Tamandua tetradactyla: one gene and its partner. The protein of the gene in region 1 purifies or fractionates together with the protein of each later gene. This does not show direct contact. Links are inferred from orthologs where the notes say so. Each region holds a gene or a part of one and is shown in the gene's direction. Other genes may lie near its edges.

What was found. The genes of interacting proteins can lie anywhere in the genome.
Region 2: the proteins of SLF2 (region 1) and RAD18 purify together in Homo sapiens (affinity purification with mass spectrometry; 3 studies listed by BioGRID and IntAct, with this or other methods). This does not show direct contact. The link is inferred for Tamandua tetradactyla from reciprocal best matches to the Homo sapiens genes SLF2 and RAD18.

What each region holds. Positions count from the first base shown.
Region 1 is NC_135339.1:62,474,083-62,481,619, forward strand, and holds the start of SLF2 (SMC5-SMC6 complex localization factor protein 2), read left to right. Parts: upstream 1-4,523; 5' UTR 4,524-4,703; coding exon 4,704-4,843; intron 4,844-7,537. UniProt on the Homo sapiens protein: Plays a role in the DNA damage response (DDR) pathway by regulating postreplication repair of UV-damaged DNA and genomic stability maintenance.
Region 2 is NC_135335.1:40,212,085-40,219,194, forward strand, and holds the start of RAD18 (E3 ubiquitin-protein ligase RAD18), read left to right. Parts: upstream 1-4,108; 5' UTR 4,109-4,187; coding exon 4,188-4,238; intron 4,239-7,110. UniProt on the Homo sapiens protein: E3 ubiquitin-protein ligase involved in postreplication repair of UV-damaged DNA. Postreplication repair functions in gap-filling of a daughter strand on replication of damaged DNA.

The sequences.
Region 1 (7,537 bases):
AAGCTTAAAGCTTGAGGTTAGTAGTGGTAGAGAATGACTCTGTAAAGGCAGGTTAGAGCCAGATAAAGATAGGTGGGTCGTGATAGATGTGTTGAATTCTGGGAAGAGCATTGCAAAGGTGTGAGATCAAATGAATTAGCTCTAACAGACTCTCTATAGAGAGTTCCAGGATAGTGGGGTTAATGTGAGGGGCAGATTGGGCAAGGGATGTAAGCTCTTTCTAGCTTTTTTTCATCCTTCTCCCTTCCTCTCCCCCATTTCTCACCCACAGTCCCTACATTACTGAGGGCAGGGCAGGACCCCTGAAAGGGGTCAGCTGGAGTGGCCAAAGGAAGTCTTTCTCCCCCACCCCCTCAAAGCAGCTTCGGCTGCTCAGTGCCACGGGTGGGCATCACCAATACACAAAATATGAAACATGAATACAGGTTACAGCAAAGACTTTCAAATATTTTGACCACAGTTCACAACAGGAAATACATTTTACATAACTATACATGTATACCATGTTTAAAATATATATAAATAGCAGGCCACAGTGGCTCAGCAGGCAGGGTTCTCGCCTGCCATGCTGGAGAACCAGGTTCAATTCCCAGCACCTGTCCTTGTGGAAAAAAAAAAAGGAAATTAATTAAAAAAATATATATATATATAAATACCTTTTATATCATCACCACCATATATATATATATATATATATTTCAAAGAGCAGAAGTTTTTCAAAACAAGATTTACTCGTATTACTGCATGCAATGTACCATTATTTTCTATTCCATAATGGCCCATTATATCAATTTCAAAACCCTTTGATGGGTTGTTAGCCAAGTGTGAAAAAAACCTGATAACAGGCTGGCATCCCTAAAAACAATTTCCCAAGCTGTTTCCCATATTCAGACATACAAGTAATACCTTGGCCTACCACCACTGTTAAGATAACTCTAGGAGAAAATAGCATAAATACATATATTTTATTACTTTACTAATTATTTATTAATCCTTACAGTTATCTTCGATTTGGGGGAAGTGGTTCTGATTTTTCACCTATAGATATGATATAAAGTTTTCTTCTAAAATCAATGTATTTAAAATTTTAAAAGTTACTTAAAGAAAAATATTAGGTAACTAATAGTATAGGGAATGTTTAGCTATGTTAAAATTCACAGAGAAGTTATTCGTATGTCTGAAGTGTGGGAAACACTATCTTTCACCACTCTACAATAAAGTAACAATAAACTTACTTTCCTTAACCTGCTTTTGCACAGTTTTACTGGTTATTCCCAGGAAGTTTAGGTCACATGAAATGACATTACATTACATTTGGCTTTGCCCTGGTGGCCCCATTAGGCAGTTTTGAATTCAGCATCCCTTTGCAAAGTGATTTGTGTAGATCTTGACATGTGGAACTCAGCTTCACTTCTTTAGTAGATCATCTCGTAGTCCGTCTCTACCAAGCTTTCAAGTTAATTATTTCCCGTTTCCCTGAGTCTGTTCCTTACCCTGCTTCCCAGGTCACCCTCTACCCTTACTTTCACACACATACTGCAACTCGGCAGCAAATAGATTTTTGTCTCTTAGCTTGCCCTAAAGCAACCTCCAACAAGCCTTGGATTATTCCATAGCTCAGAAATCTCAGCCCAAATATATGTCACTACTATAGAGCCAGAAATTACTTTTAGAGTACCATGTTTTTAGTAAGATTATTCATAATTTACTGACCTTTTGTTCTCTCAGTCCCTGATTGCTGAGCTATAAGGTACTTCTTGATCTAATCTGCCCAAGTTGTTTTTTCTCTATGTGACTGCCTGGATCTCCGGCATCAGTTCTACTGCCACTGTTCTCAGGACTCTCCCTTTGGGTTGGACTTGCCCAGTCAACTTGATCTATTGTTCATGTAACTTTGTTTTTGTTGCTGTCCCATCCCTATCCATCAAGGCCAGAAACTGTATTCCCCCTTTTGTCTTTTAACAATTCAGGATGCTAAACTGAGCTGAGCTATACCCCATAGAAACTTCATCCATAGAAGCTAATCAATCTCTATAGTCTTTGCTTCCTCATCACCTTGCCCAGAAATCTTCCCAAATTAGCCTTTTCTGGTCATCCAGATTTAATTTCTCCAAACTATCTTCCAATCCTGGCTGAGGTTTTGTCTTAAGTCTCCAACCCAGTCTTGTATGTTTTATTCATCATTCTCTCCCCTGCACCCCAGTTTTTCATTCCCTTCTTCTCTCCTCATACACACACACCTAGACTCTTTAACGTCTTTCACCCAGTATACCGTTTCCTGGCCATCTATTTCTAGTCCACTACAAATTAATGGGTAAAAAGCTTTTACATTAGCCATGTAACACAGACACATGTGTGTGCTTGTGGTGTACATGTACAAATTTAAAGTGGGAAGAGGAATATAAACACAAAATAGACTGGTCAACAACTATCTGGAAAGAACAAAAACTCTTAGAGGCTCCCAGCTATTCTAGTTAGTATGTTGAGTATATTTCACCCTGCAACCTAAATCTGTATCATTTTCAAACATGGTTTAAATAAAAAAGAGCCGTTATTCTTACTGAGGACTTAGATAACTACTTCACAGTTAAGAAGAGATTTTTTTAAATTGCGTTTTCATTATGACTCCATCTCCATTTATTGATCAAGGGATTTCTTGCCTCACTTAACTCAATAATCTGTTGCTTGGATTAAAAAAACGTGAAAACTATTGTTTCATAGTGTGAGTACAGACTTTAAAGTGATATCTTGGAGGCTGATGATTCAACTACCATGAACCAAGGAAACAACTAATTAATCATGCAGAACATGTTTTTATGCATTACTCTTTTTATGGAACAAATATGCTATGAAATAAATTGGATTAAATTTTGTAGATGTCTTCCATTATAGAAGCAGGAACTCCCTAGTGCAGAAACAATCAACAGAAAGCACTAACAGATAAGAAATAACACATGTACAATATCCCTAATAAACAAATACATGTCATTATTCAGTCAACAGATTTTGAGCACCCATTATGTTCTATTTTATGTAACGAACAAAGCTAGGTATAATATATTCTCAGTTATTAGGAGCAGAAAAGTGCCTTTTATTTTGGTATTTCTTTTCTTGCAGCCCTACTACCTACTATGTAGGTGTAGATAGAGGCCCTCCAGAAATGGTTTTTGGATGAATGACAGACCTGTATATTCAGTTCACCTTCCATCCTCCACTTGGTCAGCCTCTTGGTCACTTTACTACTCATTAGTTCTGCCTCCTGAGAGCTTATGGGGAAGGGAAAGAGGTGAATTTCAGGTCAGTCAGGCATGCCTAGCTACAAACGCAGTTAAATCTCAGAGCAATAAACTTTAAGGACCTGTCCAAATGCTTTTGAGTCATTTAAGATTTCATACCATCCAAATGATTGAACAAGCCTGTCAACTAGAGCTCGGGTATCCTTGAGATTGATATTCTAGTTGTAATAACTATTATAACAATATTTGACCTGTCTCTGAAAGTTTTTGTAGGAAGTTAAACTCAGTGTAAGAGCCTGTCTAGAAACCAAACGAAGGGGAACTATAATTTCATGAGTATCCATTACATGAGAAATTCGAATGAGCAGTTCACATCCCTTATCTCTTTTTATGGCTTACAATTACCCAGACAAGTGAGTATTAAACCCATTTTATTATAGATATGGAAACTGAGGCTGCGAAATAATCTTAGCAATCTCTTAGCTAGTAAGGAAAACCTTAGCTAGCAGCCTCCAAAGCACAAGCCCTTTACAAAGGAGGATCGGAGACTTGGCAGCTTTTGCTAATAAATGCTGTCTACACATAACCTGAATAAGTGAAGAGTGACATCATGTTCTTTTCAAAGACCCCAAGGAAGACGGCTGTAAAGACTTCATGGATAACTCATTTCAGCAGCCGAAACTCAAAATGTTTTTGTGGAATACTGTCTTTTTTTTTCAATGATTTTCCCCCCTTCTTAATAAGAGAGGGGGGTAAGGGACGTATCGTATCACAAACACTTAACAAGTACGCTCTCAGAATGGGCAAGTCTTCAGATTGGACTGCACACTACGAAGGAAAGGCTGACAGCATTAGGGCACCCTGGCCTAAAATGCTAAAGAGGCGAGATAATGAACAGTTGGGGGTTTCTAATGCACAATTGTGTGGCACAGGAAGACCAACTGTTGGCCATCTTTCACAGACGACAGCTGCCCGGCTCGGGTTTGCCTCTGCAATCCTCGCCCTCCGCCCTCCACCAGGCGGGTGTCGCCGGCTGCTGCAGAGCCCGCGGCCACCCGAGCCTCCCCACCCCGGCTCACAGCTGAAGCCGACGCGGCCCAAACGCTGCCCCGCGCGCCCCCATGCACGTGACGGGATGGGAAGGGGCAGTTTTCCTCCTCCCCTCCTCCTTCCAGAAACTCCGCCTTCCCCTGAAAGATGCGGCTTTCTTTTGCGCCACTACCGGAATGGCTGCCGTGCCAGCCAATGAAGATGCGACGCCTGGAGTAAGACCCGCCCATCTTGGTCTTCAGGTTCCTTCCCGCTCACACGCGAGTCACTTCCGAAGAGAGAGACCCGCCATGAAGAGAGAAGGGGGTGCCGCCCACCTCTGCTCCGACAGCCTCCCCAAGATCCAGCAGCAAGACGGCAGCCACGCATCCAACTTCTCCAGCCACAGCTCATGCCGCCGTCGCCTGCGGCGCCGACATGACAAGGCGCTGCATGCTCGCTAGGCCAGGTTTCCCCTCATCCCCAGCCCCGGGGTCGTCGCCCCCGCGCTGCCATCTGAGACCCGGTAGTACCGTCTCTGCTGCAGCGGGAAAGAGAACAGAGAGACCTGGGGACAGGTACCGTGCAGAGGGCATGAGAAGGGGCCGGGTCGCGGGGACAAGGGTTTGAGGGGAGGACAGCGGCCGACCACTTTTCCAGTTCCCGCCATCCTCCGCGATCTCAGGCCTCGGCATTTCGGAGCCTGGCAAAAAACCCCGCCCCGCCTCCGCGCGGGGGTTTCTGGGAGTGCGAGTTTCTTTTTCTGTAGTTGGGAAGCAGTTCTTGGTCTAGTGGTTATAAGCCTGCGTGGCTACGGGGAATCCGCCTTAGGTAGAATGTGATTTTTATCCTTTAAGATAGCTTGGCCCGAGGCCCTACCCGCTTAATACATTATTTACTTGTTTTTTCTACATTGTAAGTTCCTGATCCCTGTGGTTTAACACTATAAACCTTTTCTGTAGTGTGGGTGAAGTTATGTAAGATGTAATGAGGGTAATCTGTCCATGAATTACGTTATAGTCCAGTATACACGGTAAATCATACTTAAAAGAACATGCAGGTTTGGAATGTGATGTGTTTTCTTTTTCAGTAACTTTACACCTCCCCAGAGGCCAATTTTTTTGTGAAGATTTCCTAGACCAACTTTCTGAGAGCTATGGAGAGTTTTATCAAATGACTTCCTAAATAAAACATGTTTAAATTCTATACGCACTTGGTACTGTCTTTTTTATTTTAAGCTTAAAAATCTCATAGCAGAAGTTTAACAGAATTATGTTCTAATATCGCAGTACAGGTCCATAATCCCTTATCTTAATTCGGAAGCTAAAAAACTATGAAAACCAAAGCTTTTCAGTAGATTTAGCACCAAATCTCATTGAGCAGCCAAACTTGACCAGAGCTAATATATAGCCGTTTATGGTCTCTATCAAGTGTGAATAGTCATAAGTTTTGCTGGAGAAATACTAATGTTTGATTGTGGGGTACAGCCCCACACCCTATTGGGGGCTTTACATAATACATCCAAAGTAAGCCCTTTGTAAAATGTGATAAATTCAGAATTCTAAAACATATTTGGTCCCAAAAGTTTCGATAAGGGTTTTTGAAGCTATTGTGAATGTTGGCTATTTGTGTTTTTAAGAATTAGTTATAAGTAATTAGTGGGCATTTCTGTGCATATGAAGTTAGGAAACTATTCCTTCTTGAAAGTTACATTCATGGTTATTTTACAGAATTTCTTGTATGTGTCACCCAAAACTCTGTAATCCTTCAAAAAGGAACTGAAATCCACTATTTTGGAAAAAGTTATTTAAAATTAATATAAAAACCTTCACCATTATCTTGCTTTGAATTAACTGCTTCGCTGACCTTTCCCATCTCTTTTTCTTCAACCAGTAACCAAAGGCTCATCCTTCACCCCTCTGCAGGCCTCTAGCATTTCTTCCTTTACTCTCTAGTAGAGTTCATTTGCCTGATATAATTTTTTTTTTTTATTTATTTTTTTGCATGGGTAGGTACCGGGAATCAAACCCGGGTCTCCGGCATGGCAGGCAAGAAGTCTGCCTGCTGAGCCACTGTGGCTCGCCCCCAATATAATTTATTTTTTGTGAGCAAATGCACAGATTCTTCCTTAGCCTGACATTCATATTCATTTCATAACCACTTAGCATTTCTACAAACATTTTGGATTCTTAGTTAACCATTACCCTTCTAATGTGGACTTCTGCATTCTTCTAATGTAGAAGCTAAACCCTCAAGGGACTTGGACTTTTACGTTTTTCCTGCACATTCCAATTTCATACTGGATGAATGTTTAGGGAATCCTCTAGTCTACTGCTTATCTTCTTTCAGGTAAAATTAGCACGAGCATAATTTACCAGGAAGTTAATTTTTTTTTTGCTTTGCATATAATAACATTTCCTTTTGTGACACAAATCAGAATACAAATTCTGATAATATGGTCTTTTCTTGCTTTGTGCCCACTTTAGGGTATGGAAATCCTTAAAGATTAAAGCAATTTGGTTTTTATTACCCTTTACTTACTAGTTAACTTCCTTCTCTCTGTTATATTTATGTTTTTCCAAGGTAATATGTTATTTTTGTAACTATCTTTAGGATATTTAAGAATATTTCTAATTAAGAATTTGACAGTAAGAAATTAAATATCCCTAAGAAATTAAGAATTTGAAACATTTATTACTTAGTTATGAAAACTCATTCCAATTTCTACTGTAATTTAGATGAACTCTTATTGTAGTCTGGAAAGAGGGAGTATAAGTTTAGTGGTTTACCTTATACCTTTTGTCCAGTACACTCCTCACGTGCCTGCCTAGACCCACCAGACCATCTATCTGCCATTCTCCCATCTACTGAATTACAGACTGTTCGAGTTTTACTCGGTTTTTATAATTTCCATTATTCATTCAGCAAACATCTATTGAATACTATTCTGTACCAAGAGCTGGAAGATATCAAGGGGTAGGGTCAGATCCCTGGCCCCAAGATCTTCCATTCTGCCAGGTTGCAATGCACTCAGTTCTAAAAAATGCTCTGGAAAAATTCCCTGGATTCACAGTTGTTTTTGTATAAATTAACTTTTGCTGGAAGTGGTGAATTATATTTTCATTTTTTATTATCATCTTAGCAAAGCATTATTGCTAGTGTCAGACCTTGATTATTTAAACCAGACAGTGAAGTCTAGCCTAGAGTCTGTAAATCTGATCAGCATTCTCTCATCTGAATTATTGAGGTTTTGATATTCGCTTATGTGATAC
Region 2 (7,110 bases), on another chromosome or scaffold:
CACACAGTGGTTTTGAGGTACCAGGAACTATTATTCTAGCACTTTACCTGTAATCATTCATCTAATTCTCACAACATGCTTATGGGGCAAATAATATTCTCCCCCATATTACACATGAGAAAATTGAGGCACAGAGAGGTTCAATAACTTGCCCAAGTTAACACGGATTAAAATCTAAACCCTTAACCAAGGCTTAGAACTCCCCACCCTCAGGTCTTTGAGTGGCTGCCTCTGTCTTATCTGTTCGGTTTCAGTACAAATGTCACCTCCTCGGAGAGTACTTCCTTGGTTATTCGATTTAAAGTACATCCTCCTCTTTCATTGCTTTACATCACTTGTTGTTTTATGAAATTATCTTATTTATTCACTTTCCTACATACTTGCTTATATCTGGCACAGGATGTGTAGTAGCTCAACAAACATTTGCTAAGATAAATGGAGGGAGAGAGGGAAAGATAGGGTTCCCTGAGCTCCTTCAATAGCACCCCCATTCCACAATGAGAATGAGAACAGTGTCGTAGGAGAAGTGGGAATGGAGGGCGGAAGGAAGGGTGATGAAGAGAGAGCTTGGAAAGGCACTAAGAGGATGGAACCTGCCAAGGTGCAATCAGGCCAGACCCCACACTCATCCAGGAGAGTGCTTCCCTGATTAGGGTTGCCAGACTGAGCAAATAAAAATACAAGGAGATATTTTTTTTTAGCCTTTTTTTGGGGGGAAGAGTGCATGGTTCGGAAATCAAACCCGGGTCTCCCGCATGGAAGGTGGGTATTCTAACCACTGAACTACCCGTTCACCCTGGGAGATTTTAAAAAATATACAAATATTAATCCCACGAATTATTTGGGACATTCTTATACTAGAAAAAAAATGATCTGGTTGCTTATCAGGAATTGTAATTTACCTGGGTGTTATGTATTTTACCTGGCAGCCCTATCCCTGATGCTCACTGTGTGCTAAGTTCCATGGGAGATTCCACTGAGCACTCACCTGCTTTTTTTTTTTATATATACGGAACATTTTGTTTCTAACTCCTGAATAAGTAAGTGCAACCTCTTTATTGTTCTAACTGAAAAAGAAAGTCTGTGGAAACAGAAGCTTGTTACAGGAGAATGGATCCCGGGAGTGGATAATTGCCCAGTGAGGAGAGGTTAAGACAAGTGCCTTGTGCTGAGCTCAAAGAAGTCTTTCAGAACCTTCTTATTCCTTCTCCGGTGGAGAGGGTTATCTATCTATCACTCTGGGGCAGCTGAAGAGGGCAGGAAGACAGTGGCTCAGTCTGGGAGGAAAAGATTTATGGGACTGTGGGCATATCTGGTGAATCGTTCATTCATTCCGACTGTCCAAGCAGCCGTGGCAGGAATGCTCAGATGAATGACACCAGGCACAGTTCTGGAGGCTCTTTGGAAGTCAGAGCAGGGAAGATGGCTTTGGAAATCATTACCACCAAGTGACGCATGCTTCCAAATCGGTTTTCATGGCTCGATGGAAAGAGTGCATGTCTTCCTCCTTACCTGTTCTTTCTTTCTCTCTCTCTCTCTCTCTCTCTCTCTCTCTCTCTCTCTCTCTCTCTCGCCTTTCTTGCCTTCTTCTATCCTTTTCTATCCTTCCCTCTCACCTGTCCTCCTACCTTTTCCCATCTCTTCTCTCTCTTCTCTCTCCCTCTCTCACCTTCTGCAACTTCTCTCTCCAAACCCACCCCACTACCCGCTGTATCCCAAACCAGCCAACATCTTTCCACGCAGCCTAGAGTTCATTTGCATGCTCTTTTCCGATTGGCTGAGACAAATTCACTGCCACACCTCCTCATCCCCTGCCCCCTCCAGGTTCCTTCCTGTTGGAGCCCCAGGAGGTCCAAGGTCTTGGGATCCCCAGGCTCAGTCCTGCCCTGCAGCCCTGTCTACTCAGTTATTCTTCAATCAAGTGTCCATTCTGGTTTGAGATTAAAAGAGCTAGGTTCAAGGCTGGGCTCTGCCACTGACGAAGCTGTGTGATCTTGAATGATTCCCTTTGCCTCTCTGAGACTCAGTTCCTAGGTCTATAATATGGAAATAATCCTCATGAAGAAGTCCTTATGAGAATATTTTTGTAATGGTTAATGTGAACCCCCACGTCAGACTGCCTGGGTTCAAATCTCTCCTCTTCCACTCCCCAGAAGGGTGTCCTGGTTACCTCCATTTCCTCATTTTGTTGGAGAGAGTCTTAAATGTCAGTATATTTAAAAACACTTAAAATAGCTTCTTGCCTACAGGGCCTAATAATGTCAACTTTATTGTAATGCATGTTAAAGTCTTTTGTCCAAATGCTGCTGATGACATTATCATTGCCCCATGAACATTTGGAGGTAGGCTGTTAAAAACTCACTGGAGTATAGGTTCCTTATGAAGAAAGCCCAAAGGAGTGAAGCCAAGGTTTATCCTTTTGAGCCTCTATATTCTGGACTGTAAAATGGCAATAACAACCTCACCTCTGCCTACTCCACAGGAAAGTAGTAGAGTCTGGCCATGGTAAGCTCTTAAAATGTATTTGTTGAAAGAAGGAATGCATGGACCACATGAGGTGACAGTGGCAAGCTGCAGAGTCTTGTCCTTAGCTCGGCCCTGAACGATGTGTCTGTGCTGATTTGCTATCCTCCAGGCATGACGCAACGGAGGCCTAACTAAGGTAGTGTATGAAGGCAGAGCTGAGCACGCTGATGATGCTAAGTTGGTGAGCTGGTCAGGGCTTTGCATTTGGATAAAGGTGCTCTCAAACACTATTATGAGAGTGTAAATATATTAGTGTAGTCTTTTTGGACAATCATTTAGCAGTAGCTATCACAATTTTAAAAGAACACACAATTGTTCTACTAGTTCTATTTTTAGAAAACCATCCCCCAGATAGCTTTCCCCAAGTGTGCCAAGATTATATAGAGGAATGCATTCATTGCAGTTCTTTGTAGCAGTGAAAAACTGGAAACAACCTAAATGTCCCTCAATATAAGAGTAGTTAGGTAAATTTTGGTGCGTTGATATTATGGACTATGCAACCATTAAAAAGAATGAGGCAAATCTATATGTACTAACATGGAGAAATCGCAAGATGCATGATGAAGTAAACAAGTTAACAGAGTTATGCTTTTAATCTAACATTTGTTAGGGAGAGTATCAATGTTTGTACCTGCATAGGAGATATCTGGAGGGCTATATGCCAACTTTTAGTAGGGTTATCTTTTAAGAGAAGGAAGAACTTCTAAATCAAAATTTTGATTTGAATGGAAGAGCGAGCCCCACCTTCAAAGTTCAGAGGTCAGATTTGGAGTCGTCATCCCAAATCTGTGTGTGACTCAAGGAAACTTCCGTTGTTCTTTTGAACTGTAGCTCTGTCTTGTGTGAACTGATAATGATAACACGACCTTCCAGTGCTGTGATAGCGGTGAAAAGAAATAATGGATATGAAAACCCCTGAGCAGACATAGATTCTCATAGCTATCACGGAGAACGACCCGAAGCAAGAGGGATGAGCTTAGCCCTTGAAAGATTTGGGAAGGCTTGGATTTGGCTTATTACGGTTTCTAGAAGCCCTTTCCCAGCGTTCAATGGACATTCATTTATCAAGGCTCTGGGACTCTGTGCTTTTTTTTTTTTTGAATTTTAAAAATTTTAATACAGTTCAAATCAGCATGTCTCGTTCATTTCAACTCCTTCACCGCCAAACCTGGGGGCAGGGATTGCTTCAGTTTCTCTGCCTTCTCTTTGTCTGTGATGACCAAGGTATAAGGGTACCTGCTGCATCGAACTTTAAATTTCACATTATCCTTATTTTTCTTGATCTTGACAGATTTGGCATCTTTTCGCCTGGCTGTGAGCAGGAAGTCCTTGATTTCCTCAATTTTCCGAGGCATGGTGACGAGGCGCGCAGGAAGGCGGGCGGGACCGGCACAGCCCAAGATAAGAAGCAAGAACCGGATTCTGTGCTTTTAAACGACTCACCTTTTTCTATCATAAGCTACCAAATGAGCCTGGCGCATGCGCAGTGCGAGTACCTTGAACTGCCCTCCGCCCACGTACTACAACTCCCGGCAGGCTCCGCGCACCCCTCAGGCGTGTCGCAGGCTGATGACGTAGCGCAGTAGCGCGGGGAATTTCGAGCGGTAGTGCATCGCCGGAGGCCCTTGGGCGGCTGGCCCCCACACTCCTCTGGAGCTACCATGGACAGCTTGGCCGAGCCCCGGTGGCCTTCGGGCCTGGCAGTTATGAAGGTAGATGCTCGGAGAGGGAGGAAGCGCCCGGGGGTCAGCAGGAGGCCGGGTCCGCCTTGAGGGGAAAGGAGGAGGCGGCAAGCCCCGCTTGGGTTCCCCGCCCTGCCCGCCTCTTATTGCCCGCGAACCCTAAGGCCCCAGTTTCTACTGAGAAGCGGCGGGGAAAGGCCTCGGTTCCTTACGGTGAACTGAGGTCGGCCGTCGTATGGAACTGGGTATTTTGCGGTTCTTCCTCAACAGTAACAGTAACATCGAGTAAGATACTCTGAACAGTGGCGATGACAGTGACAGCTTACGCTTTTTGAGGGCTTACTCTGTGCCAAGCACTATTTAAGAGCTAGCAATACGTTAATTGAGAATTCCCAGAGTGACACCGGGCATGCTTTTCAATGGGCACTACACCAAATAGCATATATTTAATCACTGGCGAAGCAGGTAGTCTCCTTTGCACTCTGATTTCTTCTGATAATTCTCAGGAGGCTTAGTGCTGGTTTGTTCTAACGTCTCCTAACTCCTATCTAACAATTGTTCATCTTTCTTCTGTTTTAAAGAGATCAGGACTCAGGCTCAGCTCCAGCCTTTAACAAATCACTTTTATTTCGTTGGTTGCATTTCCTTTTTTAGTTGTTCTATGGTTATATCTCTAGGAAAGACCATCTTTTTGCTCCTGTTCATTAATTTTCTCATTTATATTATGGAAATTATGGTGTCTCCCCCACTGACTGGTGAAGCTGACTTTGAGGGTCAAGTGAAGGGACTTGGGAAAGGCTAAAGTAAGTAAAAAGTTGTGTTCTTCCTGCTGTCAGCAGAAACATTTGCAGTGTCTGGGGACTTGAGATATCATCACTGTACAGATGGTGAAGACCTGATGTTGTGGAAGGATCTAGGAAAGTTGTTTTGAAGTTGTAGTGGCCTTAGCACCAAGATCCACTGGAGAAGGGCATAGATTTTGAGTTCCAATTGTCTGGTTAAATCTGGACTCTCCCTTATATTATTAACTAGGTGAGCTTGAGTTATTTAACCTCTCTGAGCCTCAGTTTCTTCAAGTATAAACTGGAGACAAAAATAGCCATTAAAAGAGTTGAGAAATGTGGGTAAGGATCCTATCTAGTTTGTTCACTGTACTTTTAACACAGTGCCTGGCCCATGGTGGGTGCTCAACAGTTATTTGTTGACTGCTCGAAGGTGTCTAGTATGTACTTGTGCTAAGCATTCAGTTAATATATCTTTATTATTATTATGAGTGCTTAACGTGTGTTCTATGTCTTTCCTTCTTTCCCCCTTTTATTTGTTGTAAAGATTGAATTAGAGAAGTGAGCGTTCTGTAACCTGTAACTCTACCTGCTTTGTAGATTTGAACATATTTTATGCTTTCTCACAACTCCACATTATTCTTTACAGGTAGGTTTCTTGTCTTCTCTGGCTTTTCACAGCAAGAATATAGAGTTTAGCAGCAGAGTGTTCAATTATGGGCTTGACTGAGCTCAAATTTAGCTCTCATTAGAATCATGGAATCTTAAGCCAGTCCCCTCCAGTATTTTAATTCCTATTATAATGTATCTGCCAATTTCTCATCTGATTTTTGCTTGAACTCCTCCAGGGGCAAAAAACTAGTTGCTCCCAGAGGCAGCCCTGATCGTTTGAAGTTCTTTCTTATATTAAATAGAAATCTGACTCTGAACCCATGATTCCTAACCTAACCTGGAATCTGTGAAAAGAATTTGATATCTGGAAATACTTCTAAAATTCTTGTGCATAGATATATTTCTTTCCTAGGAGAGAGTCCATAATTTTCAAAGGAATCTGCGATCCTCCCCCCCAAACTTAAGAACCTTTTTGCTTGAATTATTAAGTCATTTTCACCTGATTCCTACTTTCTCTTTCTTCTTTCTCTAAGCTAAAGAAATCCTGGGACATCCACTGACCACTCTCTGTTTAGGCTTTTTTTTTCTTGCAGCACATATGATATACATGCTCCTGTCTAGAAGTGGCATGATTGGACATTTGTACAAAAATACCACAGCTCCTCTGATGTGTTGTCACCGTCTACACATCTTGTTTGGCAGTTCTGTCAGAACCGGTCCTCCAGAAGAGGATGGTCATGTAGAATAAAGATTCACAGACTAGATGCTGGACTCTTTCTTCTGGTCCTGCCTCTACTCTTAATATGAAGAGCAGTAAGCCTCTAGCTTTTTGCGTCTGTGGCAGCTTGGCATGCATAAGAATGGAAGATTTAGGCATTTTTATGTTTATTTCTCTGATTTTACTGTAAGAAAAATTTACTGTTATTGACAGATTATCAATGTAACATGTGTACTTAGTAGAAAAAATTTAAAATTCAGAGAAAGGTAAAGAAGAAAATGGAATTTACTCATAATCCCACCATCCAGAGATAACCACTGTTAAATGTTTTGTCTTACTTCCCTTCAGTTTTTCTTGTGTGTGCTTATGTACACAGATGCACCAATGTGCATTTAAAATTATGAATCACTTTGGAGCCAGTTCCTTGGGCTTTATCCAACCACTTATTAGTTCATCTGTAATACTAGGAAACTGAAACAACAAACTTCATTTATAGAGATAAATGACAGTATTATTATTTTGCATTATTGTGGTCAATTTTTTTCTCTGCTTTTGTTTGTTTCCATTAAAGTGTGAACATTTTCATATGGCAATAATTATTCTTTGAAAGCATGATTTTTTAAATGGATATCTAGTGTTTCATCATTTAGATTATTAGTATCAGGGTGCTTTTGTTTATCTTTTTAAAATCTTAAGTAGTACACTTACATGATTCAAAAAATATATAAAATAAAAAGTAAAAGTAAAAGTCTTCCTCTCACTCATGTCTAGTTCCCACTCCCCCACCATT